Linked DNA regions of Astyanax mexicanus. The protein of the gene in region 1 interacts with the protein of each later gene in a pairwise test. Links are inferred from orthologs where the notes say so. Each region holds a gene or a part of one and is shown on either strand. Other genes may lie near its edges. The genes, in order: sergef and dph3.

Evidence for each region.
Region 2: the proteins of sergef (region 1) and dph3 interact in binary tests that used the Homo sapiens proteins (3 or more experiments, as listed by UniProt). The link is inferred for Astyanax mexicanus from reciprocal best matches to the Homo sapiens genes SERGEF and DPH3.

What each region holds. Positions count from the first base shown.
Region 1 is NC_064409.1:48,173,058-48,184,938, forward strand, and holds the start of sergef (secretion-regulating guanine nucleotide exchange factor), read right to left. Parts: upstream 5,040-11,881; 5' UTR 5,023-5,039; coding exon 4,951-5,022; intron 4,287-4,950; exon of another isoform or gene 4,115-4,286; intron 3,074-4,114; coding exon 2,938-3,073; intron 2,120-2,937; coding exon 1,964-2,119; intron 1,833-1,963; coding exon 1,738-1,832; intron 712-1,737; coding exon 651-711; intron 547-650; coding exon 433-546; intron 241-432; coding exon 178-240; intron 1-177. Other genes in the region: tph1a (tryptophan 5-hydroxylase 1a), read right to left, coding at 7,437-7,611, 7,977-8,110, 8,394-8,489, 8,790-8,916, 9,854-9,989, 10,181-10,377, 11,082-11,149, 11,261-11,361 and 1 more. UniProt on the Homo sapiens protein: Probable guanine nucleotide exchange factor (GEF), which may be involved in the secretion process.
Region 2 is NC_064412.1:43,332,484-43,345,340, reverse strand, and holds the start of dph3 (DPH3 homolog), read right to left. Parts: upstream 5,887-12,857; 5' UTR 5,828-5,886; coding exon 5,720-5,827; intron 1,028-5,719; coding exon 953-1,027; intron 1-952.

The DNA.
Region 1 (11,881 bases):
TTGAAAGGAAACAGCATGAAGGTTGTGATGGAAATGACAAAGATTGCCTTCTTAAAGGGGTTTTTATTACTCTATTTTTGTAATAATGTGTTTTATGAAACAGCGCTATACATACAAAATACACATTATATTGATACTGACCAATATTATTACAGAACTCATTGAGAAATACCTCACCTGTCAAACAGACAGAGTGGCCAGACCCTGCAGCCACTCTCTGGGAGGTTACCTGTTCCAGTCCTATGAATACAAAAAAACTAGATTAGGACAAGAACGGGAACATTTCTTGCAACAGCAATAACTGCATTAAATGAAAAGCTATACAAATCTGTATAAAAAAAGTGTTCAGTATGTTTGGCAGACCTCACACAGTCAAAGTGAGATAAACCCTTGTACACTGTGTACTGAAGAAGAATGTGTTAGGGTGTTTACCTAGGACTAAACAGGGCTCCTGTGAGTTGAGGTGGGCTGGGACAGGCTGAGGATTCAGTGCTCTTTTTGCTTGAGCAGACAGACCTGTACCCCACTGATATACAACACCTGAACCTTCTCATACACACACAAACACACACACTGTAATTGTAAGTAATGCAGGAGCAAGAGACAAAAGTATAGAATGATAGAAGTAAGGAAAATGAAGAAAGACATACCTGTTACTGCAAGTGCATGTCTCAGCCCTGCAGCTACACTGATGACTGATTCACTCAAAGACTACAAAAGCAACATTAGAAACATTGTAATTTAATTATTATTATACATATTATTATATACTATAATTATTCTACAGTATTGCAATCACACACACACACATACTGACATCTGCTAAGATATCTGTTACTTCTGTTCCAATGCGTAAAAAAGCAGCACAGCAAAGTTCAGAGTCAGTCACTCAGCTTTTTATCATATCTGACTCGAATTCAGCCAGAGAGACTGTAAAATGTGTTAAACTAAAGAGCCTTGTGGAGGACGCAGAGTAAAAAAAAAATCATCAGTCCGAACCTGATACACATGATACACACAGAAAAAGTCATATTGTGATTAACTCCAGCAAACAGCTCCATCAGCATAAAAGACCAATGGTCTCTTTTCATATGGTAAAAAAAATTTGAACATTGTGTTTCAGAGGAAATCCCATTGATGTGTTTTTGTTTAATTTATTTAAGTAATTCTTAAATTATTTTATTAGTAAACACCATTACAATAATTTGTGGGACGACTCAAATACACTGTGCATTAAAAAAAGCATTTAGTGGACACTTTTATCTAAAGCGACTTACAAATAATGATGTACATTAGCAATAGAGGACATAGAAGTCCAAGGCAAAAGATTTTTGAAAGGACCTAAAGGAGGCAAAAGGGGAATAGTGGGATAGAGCAGGAAAGGAGGGGAAGCAGGAAATGAGGTTAGAAGAAGAATAAAGCCATTGATTACAGTTGTCAGCAAGGCCTTGTGCAGGCTGGTGGCTCCCCACTGGTGTGGGGTGTATTTTTTGTTACAACATTGGTTGGGTTCACTGATGAACATAAACACATTGTTGACCAGTGCCCCTGACCATTTGTGACCTTCATGGACTTCATTTACCTCAATAATAATGGGACATTCCAGCAGGAAAATGCAATGTGCCATCAAGCCCAATTTGAACAGAACTCCTTTGAAGAGCGTTCTGAGGGCATTCCAAACAGCATGGCACATGTACATAACCATGCAAGCTAATATATAGTATGATCAGTGTTTACCTTGATGAGCAGCGGCTCTGCTGTGTGTTTTATTTGTGGTGAGACACCCAGCTGTCCAAAAGCATTGGAGCCACACGCCAAGACGCGGCCGTCATCTGCAAGATATATTTTTAAGACTGTTGCTCTCCAAGCAAGACAGACATGACTTTTCTTTAAATTGGCTGACTAATGGGTTGGTCAGGATAACTAGATTTCATTCAAGAGTAGTTGTTTAACTGGAAGCTACCTGTAAGAATAATGGTGAAGTCCCATCCACAAGATACTTGCTGAACAGTCATATTTCCAGGCAAAGGACAAAGCTGAAAGGTCATGATATCCAATATGTGTCCGAGCCCAAGCTGGCCTTTGTGATTTTGTCCACAAACCAGCAGCTCCCCTGATTCTGGAGACAGTAGAGAGAAAACAATGTGTTATTACAGAGAGGACTAATACAGGGCACCCTTGTCCACATAACCATAGTAAATACAAAACATTCTAATGATGTGTGAACTGGATGATCACTGTTCTAATTCAATTCATGTTTAAAAGGATTTTATTAACAGTCTAGCAACTAGGACCGTATAATACTGAAAAACTTTGGATTTTTTTCCCTGCAATTCGACATTTTAGCAAATGGTAATTGGCAGATATAATCTGTTTCTGTTAGATGTGTCATGAAAAATTAATACAGGTGATTTTTTCTTTTTGCTTCAAGCAACAAATAAAAAAGGGGAACATTGCACAATAGTGTACTATTTTGTCACTTATTTTTTGATTAGTCACCTTTGCTTCCTGTGGGCACAGCTCCTCCTCCAGCTTTTCCTAGCTTCAAAATAATAGAAAGAGCTGAATTTGGTATTTAAATTCCCTTTAAGTGTCCATAATACATTTTCGTGTGGAATATGCTCACATTAATTATGTAAACGTGTAATCTATTGTGTTTTGGCACATTTGATGACAAACAAAGTAAGTAGACAGCCCTTACACCCATTGCTTTTCTGTCCTCAGCCTTTTCTGTAGCGCACTGTAGTTACAAATTACTGAAATATACTGACATTTGGAGTTGACTAAATTTTGTACTTAACATTGACGATTATATAGAATAATTGCTGCAGTCCTATTGCACGTGTGTACATTGTGATAAAAATAAAAAGATCAATTCTGCCACCCTAGAGTCAACTATAATGGGTTTCACATGTCAACATTTAAAAGATATCTCACCAGTAATGAGCACTGAATGGCCGCCTCCGCCAGTAATGGCCCGTAGTTTTCTGCTGTGCTGACCATCATCCATACACTGCGGTTCCGCCTGATCTTCGGCATGGCCCTGACCCAACTGCCCAAAACTGTTTGCACCCTGAGAGAAACCACAAAACTTACGTATCATTTATTCAACCAACACTAGACTGCAATTAGTACAAAGGTATCTTCTTTTCTCCTTTCCTCTGGGTGCATCTACAAATCCAAAAAAAATATTCTCCACAAGACATAGCCAGGATAACCTCTTCAGATTGAGCCTTGGATACCCATGACCCTGTCACTGGTTCTCCAGCTGTCATTTGACTTTTGGTAGGTTCTGACTTGTACTGACTGGTGTGATAAGATCTTGTGCCACATTAAAACTGCACAGTATTTCTCATTCCCCCTAGACTTAAAATCGGCTATAGGTTGCCAGGTATGTTTAATACAAAACCCTTACTTGGGGAATTCTAAGGTCTGAAGAGGCTTGTGTAAGATCATACAGGAGAAAAGTGGTTGGGTTTATGGTAAAACCAGCTGCAGAGCTAGCGTACTGTTCTGTATTTACTGCATATGATAAATCATACATAATTTATAATCAAAAGTAAAACTTAATTGACATCCATTACAAGATGAAACTCAACTGCAGTTTGGCATTTTTATGAGTTTCAGTCAAATAAGATATTTTCAGTTATATGTGTTTCAACTTTGGGACTTTTTTTTTATATATATTTTAACACTAGGGATGCCACCTTTCAGAATTTAAAATAAGGGACGCCCACCACAGCTCCACCTGTGGGACAGGGCACCTTTATGTAATGATCACTGAACACTGTATTCCACAAAAATATAAAGATCTGTACAGATTTCTGTGTATTTTGTCAACATTTGTGAGGAATACAGTGTCTGGGGATCTCTAAATAAACATTTTATCTTAACAATTAACTGTTATTAACTGTTCATTCATTATTTTGGCTATTTAAAATATTAAATTGGCTTTTACTACTGTATATTAATAATCATTTATTCGACAAAACTCAACATGTAACCATTCTAACACCTAAACAAACAATCAAACCACAATAGTCTACTAAAATAATCTCTGCCTCATGCACTGACATCTTCTAGCAAAATCACAACCAGATAATAACATAATTACCCAGATCAGTCTCAGGAGAGGAGTGGGGGTGAAGAACTGTGAGACTGATGCTTATTGGGGTCTTTTGTTTTTTTAGTGTGGGCAGTGTTGCTCTTCTGATCCTTGCTGTCTGATATCAGACATCCCACCGCGCGCCACCAAAAACACTCGCAGACACGTTTTAAAGGGGAGTCTGTAACCGAAAGAGGAGCCCAGGGAGAAGGCATTTAGTGTTGATGTGTGGGTGTGACAGACATGCGTATTAAACATTTATGGAAATACGGAAGAAAATTGGTACATTCCGGGACTCAACACGTTGCCAAATAAAGGTGGCAACCATTTAAAAAGCAATGAGAACCGCTCCACTAGAGCATCTCTCTGTTGTTTTTCAGATGCTCGGATCCAGTCATCTAGTTATCACAGTTTGACCCTTGTTAAAGTGATGTTTATGCTTGATCATTTTTCCTGCCTCCAACAAATCAACTTCAGTAACTTTCTGTCTGCTGTATAGAGATGTTTTATGAGTGAAACTGCATGAATGAATAAACTCGCCTCATTTACAGGGTTTAATCGCACCCAGTCCCATATCTCCAGATAACATATAGCACTACTAACTAACTAACTAACTGAAAGGGACACTGCAGAAATGCTTGTTTCACGCTTTCGCCCTCTGAAACAGTGTTGTTTATTTCTTAAAAACTGTTATATGAGCTAAACCGGTGAGAAAAAGAGCACTAAACCCCGTTAATCTCAGCGCTTCGGTACAGACACTGCTCTGCTGATTCTCTCATCTCTACAGACTCCTATCAGCGCTCTCAGGAAACTCGGCAGTATTTGATAGATGGTCAGAAACCTACCCACGTGTACAAGACATGTTTTCGTATCCTCGGTGGGTCCATCAGTGGGCGCACTATGATGACGACATACATGCTGAACGCGTCCTTCAGATCCGCCATGATGTGTGTGGCCAGAACCCACTTCCTGTCTCCCCCCTTACAGCAGAAAATCACTGCGCACCGCTAGAGGGAGCCCGCCAGCGAGTCCTCAATAAATGGGGGTGAATGGAGCTAAACGGCTAAAACTCAAATTACAAATATTAATGAACTACTTATCCAGAATATTCATTAAATTATAGAACGTACAATAAAGTGTTTCACTACAAAATCAAAAGAAAACTTACTTATATGTTTCTATTTTTCTAAAGCAAACGATATTTCTGCAATAAAGACGCTAGCATTACTGATACTGTGAGCTGAGTGGTTGGTAAAGGGCGTTTTCACACAATTAACAGTTCGTATTTAGTTACATTTTAGATATTTGGGCCGGTTGGTTTTGGTTTCACACTTTTAGGGTAATTTACCACAGCATGAACAGTCCTACTGAATTACTATTTTGTTTTGTGTGGTTAAAAAAATATTTCTGTTTATAAACAAGGATTAATCTACTGTTACAGGAAAAAAAATATTCCCAGTCTGTGTTAGTGTCCATCAATTATTTTTTCCTCTGGTTTACTTTAAGACTGACTCTCTGTAAATGGTCAGAAAATCCGAAAGCATCTAGAATAGTGCTCTCACACTACATAATCTTCCGACCATGGTTCAGAAGATCTGGACCGAGACCAACTCTGGTCCTTTGGACTGAGGTTCAGGGTCCCTTTACAACCATCTACTTTGGTTCAACCCCAAACAAGGTAAGTGTGAAGGAAAAAAATCTTAACGGTAGTTGAAAAGCTTTACAAATGTCTTTTACACTAAAACATCATAAAGCCTCATATATTTAGCTGTATCCATATGGAGCCATTCATTATGACAAACCCAGAGGATGTTCTCAGGTGGATTTTTTTTTTTGATTGAGATGCAGAAACAGCGCCATCTGGCGGCGAATGCTCATTACATCATTTAGACTTTATCCTTTAGCTGTGTTTTAACGTTTAATCTGTAGACCTGTATCTATAAAAAAACAAGCTCTGTAAAGTTTCTTACAGTAATCTGTCCTTCACTGTAACTCATGACATCCATAAGTGGCATATACTGAACACCCTAGGAGCATCATAGGACAATGTTTGTTCATTTGACCTTATTCACAGAATGTATGAGTCAAAATTATGTATGAGATGAAAAGTGTATTTTTAGCTTCTACAGATCTGCTTTAACCATTTTAACAATTCAAAATCTTTAATTAAATGTTTGATATTTCATATAACTAGTTATGACATGAGTTCTAGAAAAAAATGGTAAAATTTAAGTTATGAAATTGTTCTTGTGACATTTATGTTACATATGGATTTTAACAGCCACATGCTCTTTTTTTATCACAGTAAGAAAATAAATATAAGTGTGCTTAAAACTGGGTGAAGGCTCCCCCAAAAAATCTCACAGTTGTTTTTCTTATGTTTTGTTGTTTTAAAGATGGTTTGATAATTTACAGAAAGACTACAGAAAGGCCACAGGCAGAGCTAAAATATATATGACAAATACTGCAATGCTGTACAAAAGTAAGATGCAAATAACAGACTCCAATAAAGTACAAAAATAAGTTATTTTATTATAATAAGCTTCTACACATATACACATTACAACACATTCATCTAGCCATTTGAAACCTGAAGTGTAAATCATAGTGTAAATCTGTTGTAAATGAACTGTTTGAGAATAGGAGCATCTATATTGATTAGACCAAAGTCTTAGATGTCTGATGTGTAAAATGACCCTTGCATACCCAGTGACAAATGAAAAAATGAATAAAAGCTCTGATTTTATGAAGATAAAACAAAGAGAGCATACAGGACATGAGACACAGCTAATAATAAATATAAACATAAAAATATGATAGAATTAGGTTCACACTGAGACAAAACATTACAAGTGCTTGTCCTTTTCCCCTAATAATGTGGATAGAGATAGAAAACTAGTGATACTAAAGCTTTAAGGTACAAGCCCATAATAAATATCAAATTATATGATAAAGTGCCTTATGATGCCAAGATGATTTTAATGACTTCTACACAAAAAAGCTGAAATCACAAAAACAATATATTGATGGCAGAGAGTATTACTTTATCACAATGACATTTAAAGCAAATATAATGTCCACAAGTATTGTGTAAAAGACAATAGATGAATAAGTTAATTAAATTAGTACCACTGCAAGTTTTTAAAGCTCCATGGTACTAAAACAGAAATGATGATTAACATAATTTGAAATGGATTTGAACAATGAGTGAGATATTGTCATTAGATGCACTATTGTGGATTTGGTGGAAACTGGAAACAGTTCTGTGGTTTTGCTCTTTGATGGAAAAAGCAGTGTATATAAGACGATTTGTAAGATCACTGTAAGTCATTCAGACGCCTAGATGTTTGTTGAGTCTGTTCAGCGCATCTCCCACAATGTCCAGCTCATGTCTCAGCTCCTCCACCACACTGTTGATGCTAGTTGTGTCCTTTAGGACGTCCACGCTCTGTGTGTAGGGGTTGTAACGCACTGTGAATGGCCGCTTGATTGTCTTTGCAAACTCCCTGAAAAGTGGGAAATTAATGCAATTTTAGTTGATAGCATGAACTGCATATATCGTCACTGTTCAATGAAAACCTGCATCTCCAATACAGCAGCACTAAAGGAGAGAGATAAAATTTTCTTAACTATCAACTGACATCAATGTAAAAGAGTTTATTATGTTAGATATATTTTGAAAATGTATATTGTTCCATTCAACATGAAATTTAGAAAAGGGGCAGTTCATCTATTTAAAATATATAAAAAATCTTATACAAAACATAAATGGAGATGCTTGTTTTTCACTGGGATGGTATTAAAAAGCAGTGTAAATATTGCAGGTATAAATCAATTCAAGATATGATTTACTTTCTGAATCCTCACACACCTCATTTTGACTTTGGCCTCCTCAAAGCTGTCTGACACGAAGTACACGTCCTGAAAAGTTGTGATGATGCACTCTTGTTTGCATGTAACTTTGGGGTCGAAGGGCATGATCCGGGCATTCCCCGACAGAGCGTGCTGAGAAAAGATTTATTAGCCAAATTAATTATAGTCATGCATTTTGAAGCAATGTGTAAGTACATTCATGCAGGCCACATTTATATTAACCATTAAATGTCCTCACAATAATAATAAACAAATAAATACATAAAAAAAATAATAAATAAAGTGTAATAGCATGCTAACTTTGATATCTTTTGAGATGGCACAATCAGGTTAAAATATGTTTAAATGTGTTCTACTAAAATGTGTTCTGGGATAGTGGATAGAGTGTGTGAGAGAAGTGAGCTATGAATATTACCCTCAGTTCACTGATGGAGGACAGCAGACCTGCTCCATATGCTCTCAGTTTCCCCTCCTGCTTACACAGCCCGAACTCCACAGTGAAGAAGTAACACTGAAATAGAAAGAACAACATTAATTGTCATGTTTGCATGTACATTTCAGATTGATGAACTTATACGGTGTTCTAGGTAGATATTGCAATCAGTATTTATAAAAAAGATTAGTTAAATCAATTTAGAAATCTAGCATAGGAAAGCACACACCAATAATGAGTGATATTTAGATTTAATTGCCTGTTGTTTTTAAACCAGTGAGGTGGTAATCAGTCATGATCAGTATAGATAAAGTAAAAATTATGTCATGCAATAAAATCAGCAATGATAACACAGATAATGTTCCTTTTGAAACTTACAGTGGCAAGTTTCTGAACTGCCTCATCAGATGCTCCCAGTGAAGCAAGTCCAATCTCCTGGCTGAACTGAGCGAAACTGGGCTCAGCCAAAAGAGGTACGTGACCCAGTAACTCGTGACATGTGTCTCTGAAACATACAGATCACCAAAACATTCAGTCTAACATTGAACTAAATGTTTTTGTTAACAATTAACAATACTACTATTACTGCATATTTTATGACACACGCTCATAAACAGCAATAATACATAGACAACAGTAATGGGACAACTAGTTATTCATTCTTTAGATAAATCAAGAGTATAAAAAAAAGATTATATGCTTTTTTTCAAAGCAACTGTTTCTACTGTGTAGGAAAGGCTTTCTGCTAGATTGAGCTCATCCCTAATTCTTTAACTTAATTCTGGGGGGCATTATAATCCTCTAGCTCAGGGGTCGGCAATTAAGTTTGGCCGCGGGCCAGATTTTTTCCAAGCCATTACATGGCGGGCCACAAGCACTTGGCGGGGGGGGAGATTGGCGGGCGCGGTGGCGGGAGGGCGCTCTTAAAATGACAAGCAGACATTCAAGTGGGCTGTTGTGGGTGAAATCTGTGGACTGACCATTGGGGCGCAATTAATGATATACCTGTTTGTTAAATAAAAAAAAACAAATGAATAAAAAAAAAAAATAACAGAATAAAGAAGCTAGCAGTTATCTAACAGCCCGTGGCTCTATCAAAAAATCTTTAATAAATTTTTCTGTTTTGGAAAATTAAGTTTCTAAATAAAGAGCATTTTTGAGACGGACAGTCCGATTTTTTTTTCATTATAGTTCAACCTCACGGGCCAGATGTTTCTTGCTTGCGGGCCGCATCTGGCCCGCGGGCCGCCTATTGCCGACCTATGCTCTAGCTAGTTGTTCGAAAGTAGCTGAATTAATTGATTCATTAAAAGGGGTTTTCAAAGACATTTGGTCATATAGTGTATCAGCATTTGAACATATTGTCAAAATTACACACTGACTGATTTTCCATGGAATATTTACAGAGGTATTAATTACATATGCTTGTTATATATACTTACGGTTCAGGTGTGTACAGAGGGTCCGAGCTGTGCCGGACATACTGTGTGCAGTGGAAAACACGGAAGGCCAAGCCTGCCAGGAAGTCTCTGGGGGAGAGGTATCCTGCCACAGGTCTTATGTTGAAACCGGTACGCTCTGAGAATACAACAACACATTTAACATCATAAAGAGCTTAAACAGTGAACAGTGAACACAGCATAAACAGTGAATAGTGAACAGAGGTTCTGCAAGAAGTTCTCAATGAGAATACCATCTAAACTCCCATCCACACAGACACACACTAACACCAGAGAAGACTCAGTATGTGGTGTGGTGTCCCATCTCACCTCTTAAGAAGCGTGAGACGTCTTCTAGCTGAGGAATGTTGTCCTCACGATATCCACAGTACTTGGTGAGCAGAGGTAGGTTCTTCAGGTGTTCTCGGCAGGCATGAGTGGGATACAGTTTATTTAGCTCTCGGAACACAACACCCCACGTCTTCACCTCTTCTTCCGTGAACTCAATACGGGGGATGGGGTCTCCACTGGTAAAGAAAACATATGTAACAATGTATTAGGAACAATTATTTCTAAGTAATATAAATACAAATAAATGTACTCCAAAGTTTTGTTAAGATATGCCATAGAACAAATTGTGGTTCTGTATTGTTTGTACTTTTGTACCAGAGATGTGATTCTGAACAATTTTTAGATTTTTGCTTTACTATAAAAGGTTTATCGCACAAAAAAATGTGTCTTTATGGAAACTGTGCGCTGTGGCCCCCCACTGGACAACAGTGGTACTGCTTGAAATGGATTTTCCTTTTATTAAATATAAATAAACACATTTCAAGGAAAGCAATTTAAGATTCGCCATATACCATGTAATTTACCTTACAATACTAAAACATTGCATTTAGGTCAAGATCATTGACTGGTCTTGCAAAGTACAATCACATGACTGACAAAGCTAACAAGCATCTGAGGAATACGTTTTTATCTTAATTTTGTCCTTGTTTTGTTAATGCCTTATAAACAGCCAATACGACCAATGCTGTAGAAGCCTATTATTAAGTCTGGCAGGTTACACTGATTTTTGTGCAGGTGGTGTTGTTTTTAAAATGGTTGATTGATTTTTTTAAATTTTATTTTAGCTTAACAGAGCCTTGAGTTGCCAACAACAGTCACCCAACAAAATTGAGAGTGCAAATAAAATAAATAATAAATAATTTCTTATCGGGTTACTTACTGCTTGTAACTCATGGCCAAATCTGCAAAATACTTTCTCCTTTTCCGGTAAACATTGTCTTTAAAGCCCTGGAGAAACAGAGAGCAAGGGATGATTAATGTTTCAGATTTTTAAAGTATCTGCATGTCTATTAATAAAGCAAAAAAACGTTCAAATTCAGATTAACATGCAGTGCTTACCGGGTGGTCTGCATCCAGGTCTGATCCATACATCAGTACACGATTAGCGCATTTATCCAGATCGGCGATCTTCTTGGGGAACCAGGGTACATTATCCATCTCTATAAATAATAACATATAATTACATTACTTTGCTTTGGTGGCATTTTTTTTTCATAATAGAAAATGAGAATGGCACTTAATATATTAATTAAACTAAACACATTTACATAGTGTAGTAGTCTACCATACCAGATTAAATGCTTGTTTTCCTACCTATATTCAGAATGCATCCTTTTTATATAACACATTTAAATCATCCAGCACCCATGAATGCACGCACGTACCGTCTTCTTCTGGGAGGCTCTTGATTGACGTCTCAGTGTCCAGCACGTTTACGTGTTTGCGCAGCAGTTGGATGATCTCGTTGAGCTGCTCGTGGTTGCTGTCGCAGTCCACCAAGATCTCAAACTCCGAGTTTCGCCTCCGCGATTTCCTCGACTCAATGTGCACGAGGTTGACGTGGTTTTCCTGTTTTGTGGAACATTTTTTTAAGTTAGGCATTTTTTTTTGCTTTATAAAACTGTGTTTGAATAAAATATGTTTAGACCAAATTAAAATGCTTATATGGGATTAACAATT
Region 2 (12,857 bases), on another chromosome or scaffold:
ATACTGTGCCTCTTCACTATCATAACCTGAGAGGATGAATTAAGATCTTCATTTGTTTTGACTATTTTATTTTTAAGCCTTCAGACTAGGGCTGACTGATATAAAATAAGATCACAATATTTCAGGCTATTTTTGTAAATGCAATATTATTTTATTTATTAGTTTCAAAACTACTACTGCAACCAACCAAACAAATATAATCTATTTGTCTATTTGGTGAATAGTTACTTACCAAGAATTTACCAAGATTTTGTATAAAAAATATATAATAAGGTAACAAAATAAGGCAACAACAAAAATCTACCACAAAACTGAAGTGCAGCATATTTAGTGTATGTACATAAACTGCAAATAAAGCAAATATAGTAAATAGCAAAACAAAATAGATATTTCCACACAATATGGAGTTTATTTTCTATAATTTAGATTCTTCAAAGTAGCACCTTTTGCTTTAATGCTAACTTTGCAGACTCTATGCATTCTCTCAGTGGCTTCTTGAGGACATTCTCATTTTAGAAAATAATACAAATAAAGAAAGTTTGTCCAAACATTTCATGCTACGATATGGCACACCCCTACTTCAGATTACACAGCAATCATATTTTCCAGCTTAATCCATTTTTTCCAGTCATGGATACTGATGTACTGAGTAATAAAACAATATTGCACTAGCTATAAAGACTCCAGCACTGGGCTGTGGAACAGTGAATCTGTGTTCTGTGCTCCTTTAAAATACGATGTTTCAAAGTCATAATTAGCACAAGCTAACCTGAGTGTCAAGTGTAATACAAAGATATAGTCATTATTTATATCTTTTAGAATATAGCTTAAACTATATCCACTTTTACAATATACTGAACAAGCCTATTACTCACTGTATAAATACATGTTCTTGATGCCAACAGCCTGAATGATTATGTTTGATATTACTAACAACTGAATGTTAACTTGCCTTGTCGTAAATTACTTTAACTATTAATGAGCAGCTCGGACAGGTGGCCACCTCTTCACCATTTTCCAAATCCTCCTGCAAGAACACAGACAGTATGAGGAGGAGGTTAAACAGACAAACAGACTGACAGGTACAGCTTGTTTATTCACATATCTACTACAGCAGCTCGTGAGTGAGGTTAGCTATATAACCTAAATAAGGGAGAAAAGTTTTAACACCAAGATGTCAGAAAAGCAGCTTCATTTGCAGACTTTGTTTAGCCAGTGGTGGACAGAAAACTAATAATTTTTTTTTTTTTTACTGCACTTAAATATTCTTCTGTGTACAATAGGTGTTGCCACCATTTAATCCCATTCACATTATATAATTATTCACTCGGACCCCCCCACGTTTAACATAAAATATTTTGTAGCCTGGTTATATTTGCCTGTTATTTCGTTTTTTTTTTTTTTTTTAAATTAACAAATTTTTGTTGCTATATCTTATTAGTTGGTGTAAGGTGATTGATTCAGTTGCCTTCTAATCAAAAACCAGAGTAGTGAGAGAGAGAGAGAGAGAGAGAGAGAGATATAGAGAGAGAGTAATGTGCAGCTGCTTGTGTGTTGAACTGTGGTTAAAAGTTTATCTTTGTAAAGTTTAATTGTGTAAATACGGGACATTATTTCTGCAGAGCCCAGTGAGCTGTACAGAGCTAGAGCTGCAGAAAAGGGAGCTGTGTCAGACAGTAAAATAGTCATTAAATGAAGTCACTTTTGTATGTGCTTCGGACGTCCCTTCTAACTGTAACTCCACTACAATTAAAACTCAAGTATCTAAATATAAAGAGTAATGGATGTGTGCATAAAAACCAAAACACGTCAAAACAAAAGAAGCCTAAAGGTAGAATTCCAATCAGAGTGCATACTTAAGTGTGTTCTATTCTGAAGGCAGCTGCCTAGCTGAGCAGCATTTTTAGGCAGCATGCCCGCGCTCCCGAGAAAAGGACTGTCCCATTTAGAAGGCAGCATATAATCCTTCGTGGGCAGCACCCTTATTTTACCCCAATTTAGAAGGCAGCATGTATTCCTAAATGCTAAGCTAACCCCTGCTATCATGCAAGGAGAAACCCTGCTTGTAGCTAAGCTAAACCCTGTTAGATGGAATAACTGTAGATTAACCTGTAATTCAGTGATTTAATGTGTAAATAGTGGAATAGTGGAGTTATGACTGTGTTCTCACTGTAACTAATTCAGATTATTTTGTCCACAGGTATTAACGAGATTACCAGGCCAGGAGCGGCTGGAGGCATGATTTCCTTTAAATGTAACAAAGTTTTCTCTCTTAACATTATTAATTTTGCTCGTTTTCTTTTTATTGTCACTATGTTTATTATAGTTTCACATCTGAACTAGTGGATATGGGTAAATTTCTTACTTTAATTTGCAAATAAATAAGACATTTATTAAACGTGTTATGTTTTTGTTTTATGCAACTAAAATTAAAATAAACTAGCTGACTGTGTATGAATGTACTATTGTGTGAAACAGCTTAGTTTGATGATTTAGTTTTTTCGTACAAAATATTTATTATATTATGGTTACATTACTCATGCATTTCTACAAAGCAACTAATCAGAAATAAATAAATAAATAAAACTGGCCATGCTCTGAGTATAAAGTGATGTAAAGTGTATAAATTAAAATATATCAAGAATGTTTAAGTTGATTTGTAATATTTAGATTAGTAACTTGTTGCACATTAGCCGCCGCTGATTTGAGATTTATCCTGAGGTAAGTGGTTAATAACTCAAATTTGTAAACAGAGCCCACAAGCACAACACGCTAGACATGATAATAAACATTTATACAGACGCCGAATAGCCTGCCGCCGCAATCCCTAGCCCCCAGTGCATTTATATGTACTGAGGAAGGTGTTTCACACACCTACACTGCTCAAAAACAACACAATGTAACTCCCAGTCAATCACACTTCTGTGAAATCAACCTGTACTGTTAGGAAGCAACACTGATTGTGAATCAGTTTCACCTGCTGTTGTGCAAATGGAAGAGACAACAGGTAGAAATGAGAGACAATAAGGATATAAAGATATAAAGGAGTGGTTCTGCAGGTGGTGACCCCAGACCTTTCTCTGTTCTTATCCTTTTTGGCTGATGTTTTGGTCACTTTTGCATTTTGTCAGTTCTCTCACCATAGAGGTAGTATGAGGCAGTGTGTCTGGAGATGCCGTGGGGAACATTCTGCTGCCTGCAACATCCTCCAGCATGACAGATTTGGCAGTAGGTCAGTAATGGTGTGGGGAGGCACAGACCTCCATGTGCTCGCCAGAGGTACCCTGACTGCCGTTAGGTACCGTGATGAGATCCTTAGACCCATTGTGAGACCATATGCTGGTGCAGTGGGTCCTGGGTTCCTCCTGATTATCCTGCAGGTGGCTGAAGTGTGTCAGCAGTTCTTGCATGATGAAGGCATTGATGCTATGGACTGACCCACCCGTTCCCCAGACCTGAATCTAATCCAGCACATCTGGAACATCCTGTCTCTTTCCATTCACCAACATCACACTGCACCACAGACTGTCCAGGAGTCGACTGATGCTTTAATCCAGGTCTGGGAGGAGATTCTTCAGGAGAACATCCACCGCCTCATCAGGAGCAGCCCAGGTGTTGTAGGGAGGTCATACAGGCACGTGGAGCCAGCACACTACTGAGCCTCATTTTAACTTGTCTTGAAGAATTTCCACTGAAGTTAGATCAGCCAATCATTTGATTTTTCACTTTGATTTTGAGTATGATTCCACATCCAGACCTCCATGGGATAATTTTGATTTACATTGATCATTTTTAAGTAATTTTATTCTCAATGCATTCCACTATGCAATAAATAAAGATTATTCATTGAGATCTAGGATGTGTTATTTTAGTGTTCCCTCTTTTTCCTTTTTTAACAGTGTATAGTAATCACAACTCTACCTATTTTTACACAGTTTGGTTTGTTACAAGCGGCAGAGATGTAGTAATGATACAGGGCTGTCACACATTACAAATATGTGCTTTCATGCTGAAATACTTTGTATTATGCTCTTTAACAAAAAAGACAGACATATGGTATGGTACATTAATTAAATGTTTAGATTAATTTATTTTATATTTACATGTACATACATACATACATACTCTCTCTCTCACACATAATCTTTGGAGTGGGAAACCATGTCACAAAGGTTGGAGGGTAAAAAAAAAAAAAAAAAAAAAAAAAGCCTAAAATATTAGGAATAATTTCAAGAGTCAGTATATACATTTTTACAGGTAACCTAAGATTAAAACCACATTTTCCTTATGATCTCTTTGATTTTGCTTTTTAAATCACATTTCAAAAGGCGCTTTATATATGTACAATAGCTCATCACATAACCAATTTTCAATACTTGAGCAAACATTTTTAGTGTAAAGAAATATTTTAAAAAGTTTTAACTTTTGAGATTTCACAACACAGATCCAGATTTACTATATGCATGATTAACATCATACTACATAAAAAATGCATTTTATTTTGAAAATACTTTTGTCACAAAGATTTTGGCCACTGGTGTTATCAGGTGTTATCAGATATTGTTAGCTCTGTTAAACTTTCCCTGGGTCACGGGTTATCAAAGAATAAGCATCTCAAGACATGAGAAGGTGAGTCCTTACTTGCTCATTTTTAATTATTGGTGAAAAAATATTTTTTTATCAAATATATTGCCATATGTCTTTTATTTCATTGATTTAAGTAGTTACACATGGTCTCTTGACTGTCAATGAGGCAGGCTTTTCACAAAATCCTCCATTTTCACTGGTGTTACAGATGTGTAACCTTGTGGTGTTTGGCCTTTTTCACGACTTTTTTTTATATTAAAAGTATCCTGCATGAAATGTTGAAATCATTCATTCTTATATCAGTAGTTAAATTTTCATGGTTATTGGACAAAAATGTATTATTATTATTATTATTATTTTAATAGTAAAGGAAGATGCATTTAAGTATATGGAAAGAAAGGTATATTTTTGTTATTTTCAGTGCTTGTGTAAAAACATACTTTGGTAACATGTTAAGTTACATTTAGCCACATTGTAATTTCAATTAAAATAAATAAAATGAGGACAAAATTAATTCTTCAAGATGGGATAACACCAGTGACAAATTGACCAAGAATTTGCATTTTATGTTAAATATATTTATTTAATATTAATTAAATATTTATATTTATATATTAATATTTATATTCAAATCTATTTGAAATTAAGCTCTCCTTTTGCATATTTGGTAAATGGAGTTGTTAACAGACATTTTAAGGTTTTTCTGGGACAAATGAAATAGATTTTTTTTTAAATGTATCCACTTGAATTCCCACTCCAAATGGAGAATTACCTATATATATATATATATATATATATATATATATATATATATATATATATATATATATATATATATATATATATACACACACACATACATGTCTATGGACGTGATGACGTAATAGAGAGCTGAATTTGAAGGCAATGATTAAGTTACCTGGGCAGCTGCTTTCTGAATGGACCTCAGCTATAGTTTTGACCTGATAAAACAACCCATAATAGTAACTACTCTAATAACTGGGCTTTCTATTATATATATAGGTGTGTGTATTTCTAGGCTGCTCTGGATGATAGATAATAACTCGGGCAGTAGCCCAATAAGCAGTTTAACTAGCTCCAGACTGCTCATGCCCCCTGTGTAAACACTTACCTTGGTGATGGCGAATCTGTCTCCACACGGACACGGGAAGTAGTAGGTCTCCGTTTCCTCGTCAAACTCGAAATCCTCTATTTCCACCTCGTCGTGATAAACAGACATTTTAACCCAGCCGGCTTCACTCACACGAGCAGCGTGACCTGCCGTCGCAGGACTGTGACGTAGAAGATGAGTTTTGCCAATGTACCCACCCACCCACAGCACCCTCTCTCCACCAGATGCCGCTGTTTCCCACCGAGTACCATCACACTGCTGCACATACACCAATCAGACAGAACATGATCACCTCTTTCTCTTCTACATTAGCCATGCTATCAGCTCCACTGATCACTTGGGACACTGTGTAGTTCTGTAATTAGGGCCCGAGCACCGAAGGCGCAGGCGAAAATTTAAAAGTTCCATAGAGCATGGGCATGGGCGTAGTTCAGGAGCTCCATAGCGCCACCAAACGTCGGCAGTAGCCGGGATGAAGTTTGTCCAATGTGCACCAACTTTGGTATGCTCATTGACCTCCTCATAAAGAACAAGGATCACTTGGTTTTATTTGACTCCGCCCAACAGGAAGTCAGCCATTTTGACAGGAAGTTGCAAAATAAAAAGTTTCCCGCTGGGTTTCGGAGGGGTTAAAATGTTTGAAAACTCCTAATATTTTACAGAGCTATTTGGCTTAGGCCAAACTTTGACCGTAAGTTGGAAATTTGTAAATTCGTGTTTCGTCAGCTCTCTAGCGCCACCTATTTTATATCACATTAATGAAAAGCTCTCAGCCTCTTGATAATTGGCAGATTCAATTAGTCTTTGAAATGATTTAGAAATATTCTGTTGTTTTTCTCATGTGTAGCTAGAGGACTCTATAGCGCCCCCTATTTTGTTTAGGCCATTAAATTAGCTGTAGCTGTCTCAAAATTTCTCCAATATTCTCGATTTTTGGCAACAACATAGAAATTATCATCCCGCACATATTACCTATTGGCTTGTATTAGCTCCGCCCAACAGGAAGTCAGCCATATTGAAATTTGTGGAAGTTTTACACATTTTTCACAAACTCATTCAAACTCCTCCTAGATTCTTTGTCAGATTATCTCTAAATTGGGCTTGGATAGGCTCCAGACATACATGGTGATAAATTGCGAAGGAATAGTCGATAGCTGAAACGATGACGTAATGGCGGGCAGTTGATTTAATGGAGACACAACACTAAACCAAATAGAAACATTAGCATGGTCAGAACACAGCTGCTTGGAAATTCATGAAACTTGGCAAAAACATAAAAGACATCATTACACACATTTTCAGTGTTGATATGATTGACTCCGCCCAACAGGAAGTCGGCCATTTTGAAAAATGTGCATTTTACACACATTTTTTGCATACTTTGTCGAACTCCTCCTAGGGAACTTGTCGAATACGCTTGATATTTGTCAGCAATAAACTACTAACACCCCTAATGATAAATTGCAAAGGAATAGTCGATATCTTAAACGTGGACTAAATGGCGGACAGTTGAATTGCTTCAGATGCCCCATTAAAACAGGAAGTGAATACATTCTGGTGCTGGTAGGTGTTTGAGGAGGTTAAAATGGATGAAAACTTACGAAACTTTACAGGCCTGCTTGATTTACGTGGTCCTTTGATCTGAAATTGAAATTTCATATATACATATTTCATTGGCTCTATAGCGCCACCTAGGTTTCAATGCATATTTGACATTACGAGGATGGTCAAAAACTCTTGAAAATGGTCAGATTCCATAAGACCTAGAAACACTTTACAAATATTGTAATAATTTTTTCATGTGTAGCTAGCAGACTCTACAGCGCCCCCTAATTTGTTCGGTAAATAAATTAGCTGTGAATGTGTCAAATTTTGTCTAATCTTCTCAAATTTTGTTAGGAGTGTAGATAGTGTGACCCTGCACATATTTGCAATTGGCTTGTATAGCTCCGCCCAACAGGAAGTCGGCCATATTGGAATTTGTAATATTTTTACACATTTTTCACAAACTCATTTAAACTGCTCCTAAAGTCTTTATCAGATTAACTCTTATTTCGCTGTAAATGAACAACAGACATATTTGATGAAAACTGCCAAAGGATTAGTTGATCGCTAAAACGGTGTCGGAATGGCGGACAATTGATTTACTAGAGACGCAACACTAAACCAAAGTGAAACAATGACACGGTCAGAACACAGATAATTGAAAATTTCTGAAACTTGGCAAAAACACAAGAGACATCATTAGACACGTTTTTAGTATTGGTAGGACTGACTCCGCCCAACAGGAAGTCGGCCATTTTGAAATAATTGCATTTTACACAATTTTTTTGCATACTTTGTCAAACTGCTCCTAGGGAACTTGTCGAATACTCTTGATATTTATCAGCAATAAACTACTAACATACCTGAGGATAAATTGCGAAGGAATAGTAGATATCTTAAACGAGGACGAAGTGGTGGACAGGTGAATTGCTTGAGATACCCCATTAAAACAGGAAGTAAACACATCTTGGTGTTGGTAAGTGTTTGGGGAGGTTGCAATGGATCAAAACTTTACAGGACTGCTTGACTTACGCTCTCCTTTGATCTGAAATTGAGATTTCATATATACGTATTTCATTGGCTCTAAAGCGCCACCTAGCATTCAATACAGAGTTTACATTACGGGAATGCTCAAAAACTCAAAAAAAAAATTGGCCGCTACAATATAACTGTACATTTCATGAGAAATCACATATGGGTCAAATTTTCACCGGTTTCTCGGTTTGGCCCGGTACGATTTGCGCTGATATGCGAGGGCCCTACGTCCCCCTGTGACAGGGGGACAACTCGTTACAGACTGTAGTCCTGTATCTGTTTAGATAACCAGTATGACCAACAACACCAAGCTAGATAACCATTATGACCAACCACATCGCGCTAGATAACCAGTATGACCAACCACATCACGCTAGATAACCAGTATGACCAACAACACCAAGCTAGATAACCAGTATGACCAACCAGACCAAGCTAGATAACCAGTATGACCAACAATATAAAGCTAGATAACCAGTATGAACAACCACATCAAGCAAGATTTCCAGTATGACCAACCACATCAAGCTAGATAACCAGTATGACCAACCACATCAAGCTAGATAACCAGTATGACCAACCAGACCGAGCTAGATAACCAGTATGACCAACAATATCAAGCTAGATAACCAGTAAAACCAACCAGACCAAGCTAGATAACCAGTATGACCAACAATATCAAGCTAGATAACCAGTATGACCAACCAGACCGAGCTACATAACCAGTATGACCAACAATGTCAAGCTAGATAACCAGTATGACCAAACAGACCGAGCTAGATAACCAGTATGACCAACAACATCAAGCTAGATAACCAGTATAACCAACCAGACCAAGGTAGATAACCAGTATGACCTACAAAATCAAGCTAGATAACCAGTATGACCAACCAGACCGAGCTAGATAACCAGTATGACCAACAACATCAAGCTAGATAACCAGTATGACCAATCAGACTGAGCTAGATAACCAGTATGACCAACAACATCAAGCTAGATAACCAGTATGACCAACCAGACCAAGCTAGATAACCAGTATGACCAACAACATCAAGCTAGATAACCAGTATGACCAACCAGACCGAGCTACATAACCAGTATGACCAACAATATCAAGCTAGATAACCAGTATGACCAATCAGACTGAGCTAGATAACCAGTATGACCAACAACATCAAGCTAGATAACCAGTATGACCAATCAGATTGAGCTAGATAACCAGTATGACCAACAACATCAAGCTAGATAACCAGTATGACCAATCAGGCAGAGCTAGACAACCAGTATGACCAATCACATCAAGCTAGATAACCAGTATGACCAACAACATCAAGCTAGATAACCAGTATGACCAACCAGACTGAGCTAGATAACCAGTATAACCAATTACATCAAGCTAGATAACCAGTATGACCAACAACACATAGCTAGATAACCAGTATGACCAACCAGACCGAGCTAGATAACCAGTATGACCAACAATATCAAGCTAGATAACCAGTATGACCAACCACATCATGCTAGATAACTAGTATGACCAACAACACCAACCTAAATAACCAGTATGAACAACCACATCAAGCAAGATATCCAGTATGACCAACAACATCAAGCTAGATAACCAGTATGACCAACCACATCAAGCTAGATAACCAGTATAACCAACCAGACTGAGCTAGATAACCAGTATGACCAACCAGACCGAGCTAGATAACCAGTATAACCAATTACATCAAGCTAGATAACCAGTATGACCAACAACACCAAGCTAGATAACCAGTATGACCAACCAGACTGAGCTAGATAACCAGTATGACCAACAATATCAAGCTAGATAACCAGTATAACCAACCAGACCAAGCTAGATAACCAGTATGACCAACAATATCAAGCTAGATAACCAGTATGACCAACCAGACCGAGCTACATAACCAGTATGACCAACAATATCAAGCTAGATAACCAGTATGACCAAACAGACCGAGCTAGATAACCAGTATGACCAACAACATCAAGCTAGATAACCAGTATAACCAACCAGACCAAGATAGATAACCAGTATGACCGACAAAATCACGCTAGATAACCAGTATGACCAACCAGACCAAGCTAGATAACCAGTATGACCAACAACATCAAGCTAGATAACCAGTATGACCAATCAGACTGAGCTAGATAACCAGTATGACCAACAACACCAAGTTAGATAACCAGTATGACCAACAACACCAAGCTAGATAACCAGTATGATCAACAACACCAACCAAATAACCAGTATGAACAACCACATCAAGCAAGATATCCAGTATGACCAACCACATCAAGCTAAATAACCAGTATGACCAACCACATCAAGCTAGATAACCAGTATGACCAACCAGACCGAGCTAGATAACCAGTATAACCAATTACATCAAGCTAGATAACCAGTATGACCAACAACACCAAGCTAGATAACCAGTATGACCAACCAGACTGAGCTAGATAACCAGTATGACCAACAATGTCAAGCTAGATAACCAGAATAACCAACCAGACCAAGCTAGATAACCAGTATGACCAACAACATCAAGCTAGATAACCAGTATGACCAATCAGACTGAGCTAGATAACCAGTATGACCAACAACATCAAGCTAGATAATCAGTATGACCAATCAGGCAGAGCTAGACAACCAGCATGACCAATCACATCAAGCTAGATAACCAGTATGACCAATCAGGCAGAGCTAGACAACCAGTATGACCAATCACATCAAGCTAGATAACCAGTATGACCAATCAGGCAGAGCTAGACAACCAGTATGACCAATCACATCAAGCTAGATAACCAGTATAACCAATTACATCAAGCTAGATAACCAGTATGACCAATAACACCAAGCTAGATAACCAGTATGACCAACCAGACTGAGCTAGATAACCAGTATGACCAACAACATCAAGCTAGATAACCAGAATAACCAACCAGACCAAGCTAGATAACCAGTATGACCAACAACATCAAGCTAGATAACAAGTATGACCAATCAGACTGAGCTAGATAACCAGTATGACCAACAACATCAAGCTAGATAACCAGAATAACCAACCAGACCAAGCTAGATAACCAGCATGACCAACAACATCAAGCTAGATAACCAGTATGACCAACCAGACCGAGCTAGACGACCAATATGACTAAGCTAAATTAAGGCCCAATCCGATTTCACCCCTTGCCCCCCCTGTCTTGCTGGAACAGTGTTGATATTTCTGATCACATGTGATTTTTCAGATTTCCATGAGAAGACCTGCTTCATGTTTAAATGCAGAACTATAGTAAATAGATAAACTGACCGGTTAATGAGGTGAGGTGGACTGTATTTGCTCAGTAGAATGAGTTTCTATGTTAATTGTACGCTTTTTTGCTCATTACATAACTCATCCCGTTATTTCCTCTGTTCCTCTGATAAGATGTAAACACTCTTGCGTAATCGACGCTCTTCAGTGTAAACTCTATTTCTGGTTCTGTGAAAAGTCAGTATAGTAAATAGGAAATTGGGTTTGGAATGAAATCTGATTGTGCAGTTATCTAATGCAGAGTTAATAGGGTATCCTCTGGCGAGGTAAGTGAGATGACCCTGAACAGCCCACTGTCTTGGAAAGTCAACAGAACATTATTAAATAAAGTCAGCTATGCTTAATATGCTTAAACAGAGAGTTTAAATCTAAGTATTCCAAGAACTAGAGAACATGTCTTATCCGTAGTTTCTAAGAATCTCATCAGTGCTATCTCACTGTTTTTAGGTTTAAGTAGCCTAATTTAGGTTTAATTAAACGTGTATTTTAAGCTGTGTTGAGAACTCTATAAAATAAGAATTTTAGCTTCCACAACTTGATACCACATTTCCCCCAAATATTTTCTTAACTTAAAACTTAAAATGTAGTGTGTCTCTGACTTTTTGCTCAATTAACTTGATAAAAATCATTCAAAAAAGTTCAATCAAAAGTCAATCAAACTTTGCTGTATTGATTGATATATTGTCAGAGAATAAAGGTCTGACTATTAAATAATATATGTAAATAAAGTGTTTTACATTTTTTAATTTATGTAGTTGGTCTAACAATATGTTATCTACTAATTTAAGCTAATACCTGTAAATTATTAATGGAAGCCTGTACTTAGCCAGCATATAGTCACACTTAGCAACACAAAACATGGCAACTTCCTCTTATAGTCTTCAACACTGAGGACAGGCAATCACTACATAAGATACACACATGGGCCTGGGTGCAGCGATTACACCCCAGTGGTGAATAAGAGGTGGGAGGACACACCCAATATGCAAATAGATATTATCAATGGAAAAGATAAGAACGTTTGTCCAAAATAATGATAGTGCACACAAAATCACCTGTGTAACACATCAATGTAATAAAAATGATTGAATCTTAAACCCCTGCAGAACTGCTCTGTAGACCCTGTTCAACTAAAGATTCAGAACAAACTGTACATTTTGCCAACCCAAGTTCTCTAGTCGGGGTGACTTTTACCAAGAAATTGTTGAGTTGAGTTGTCT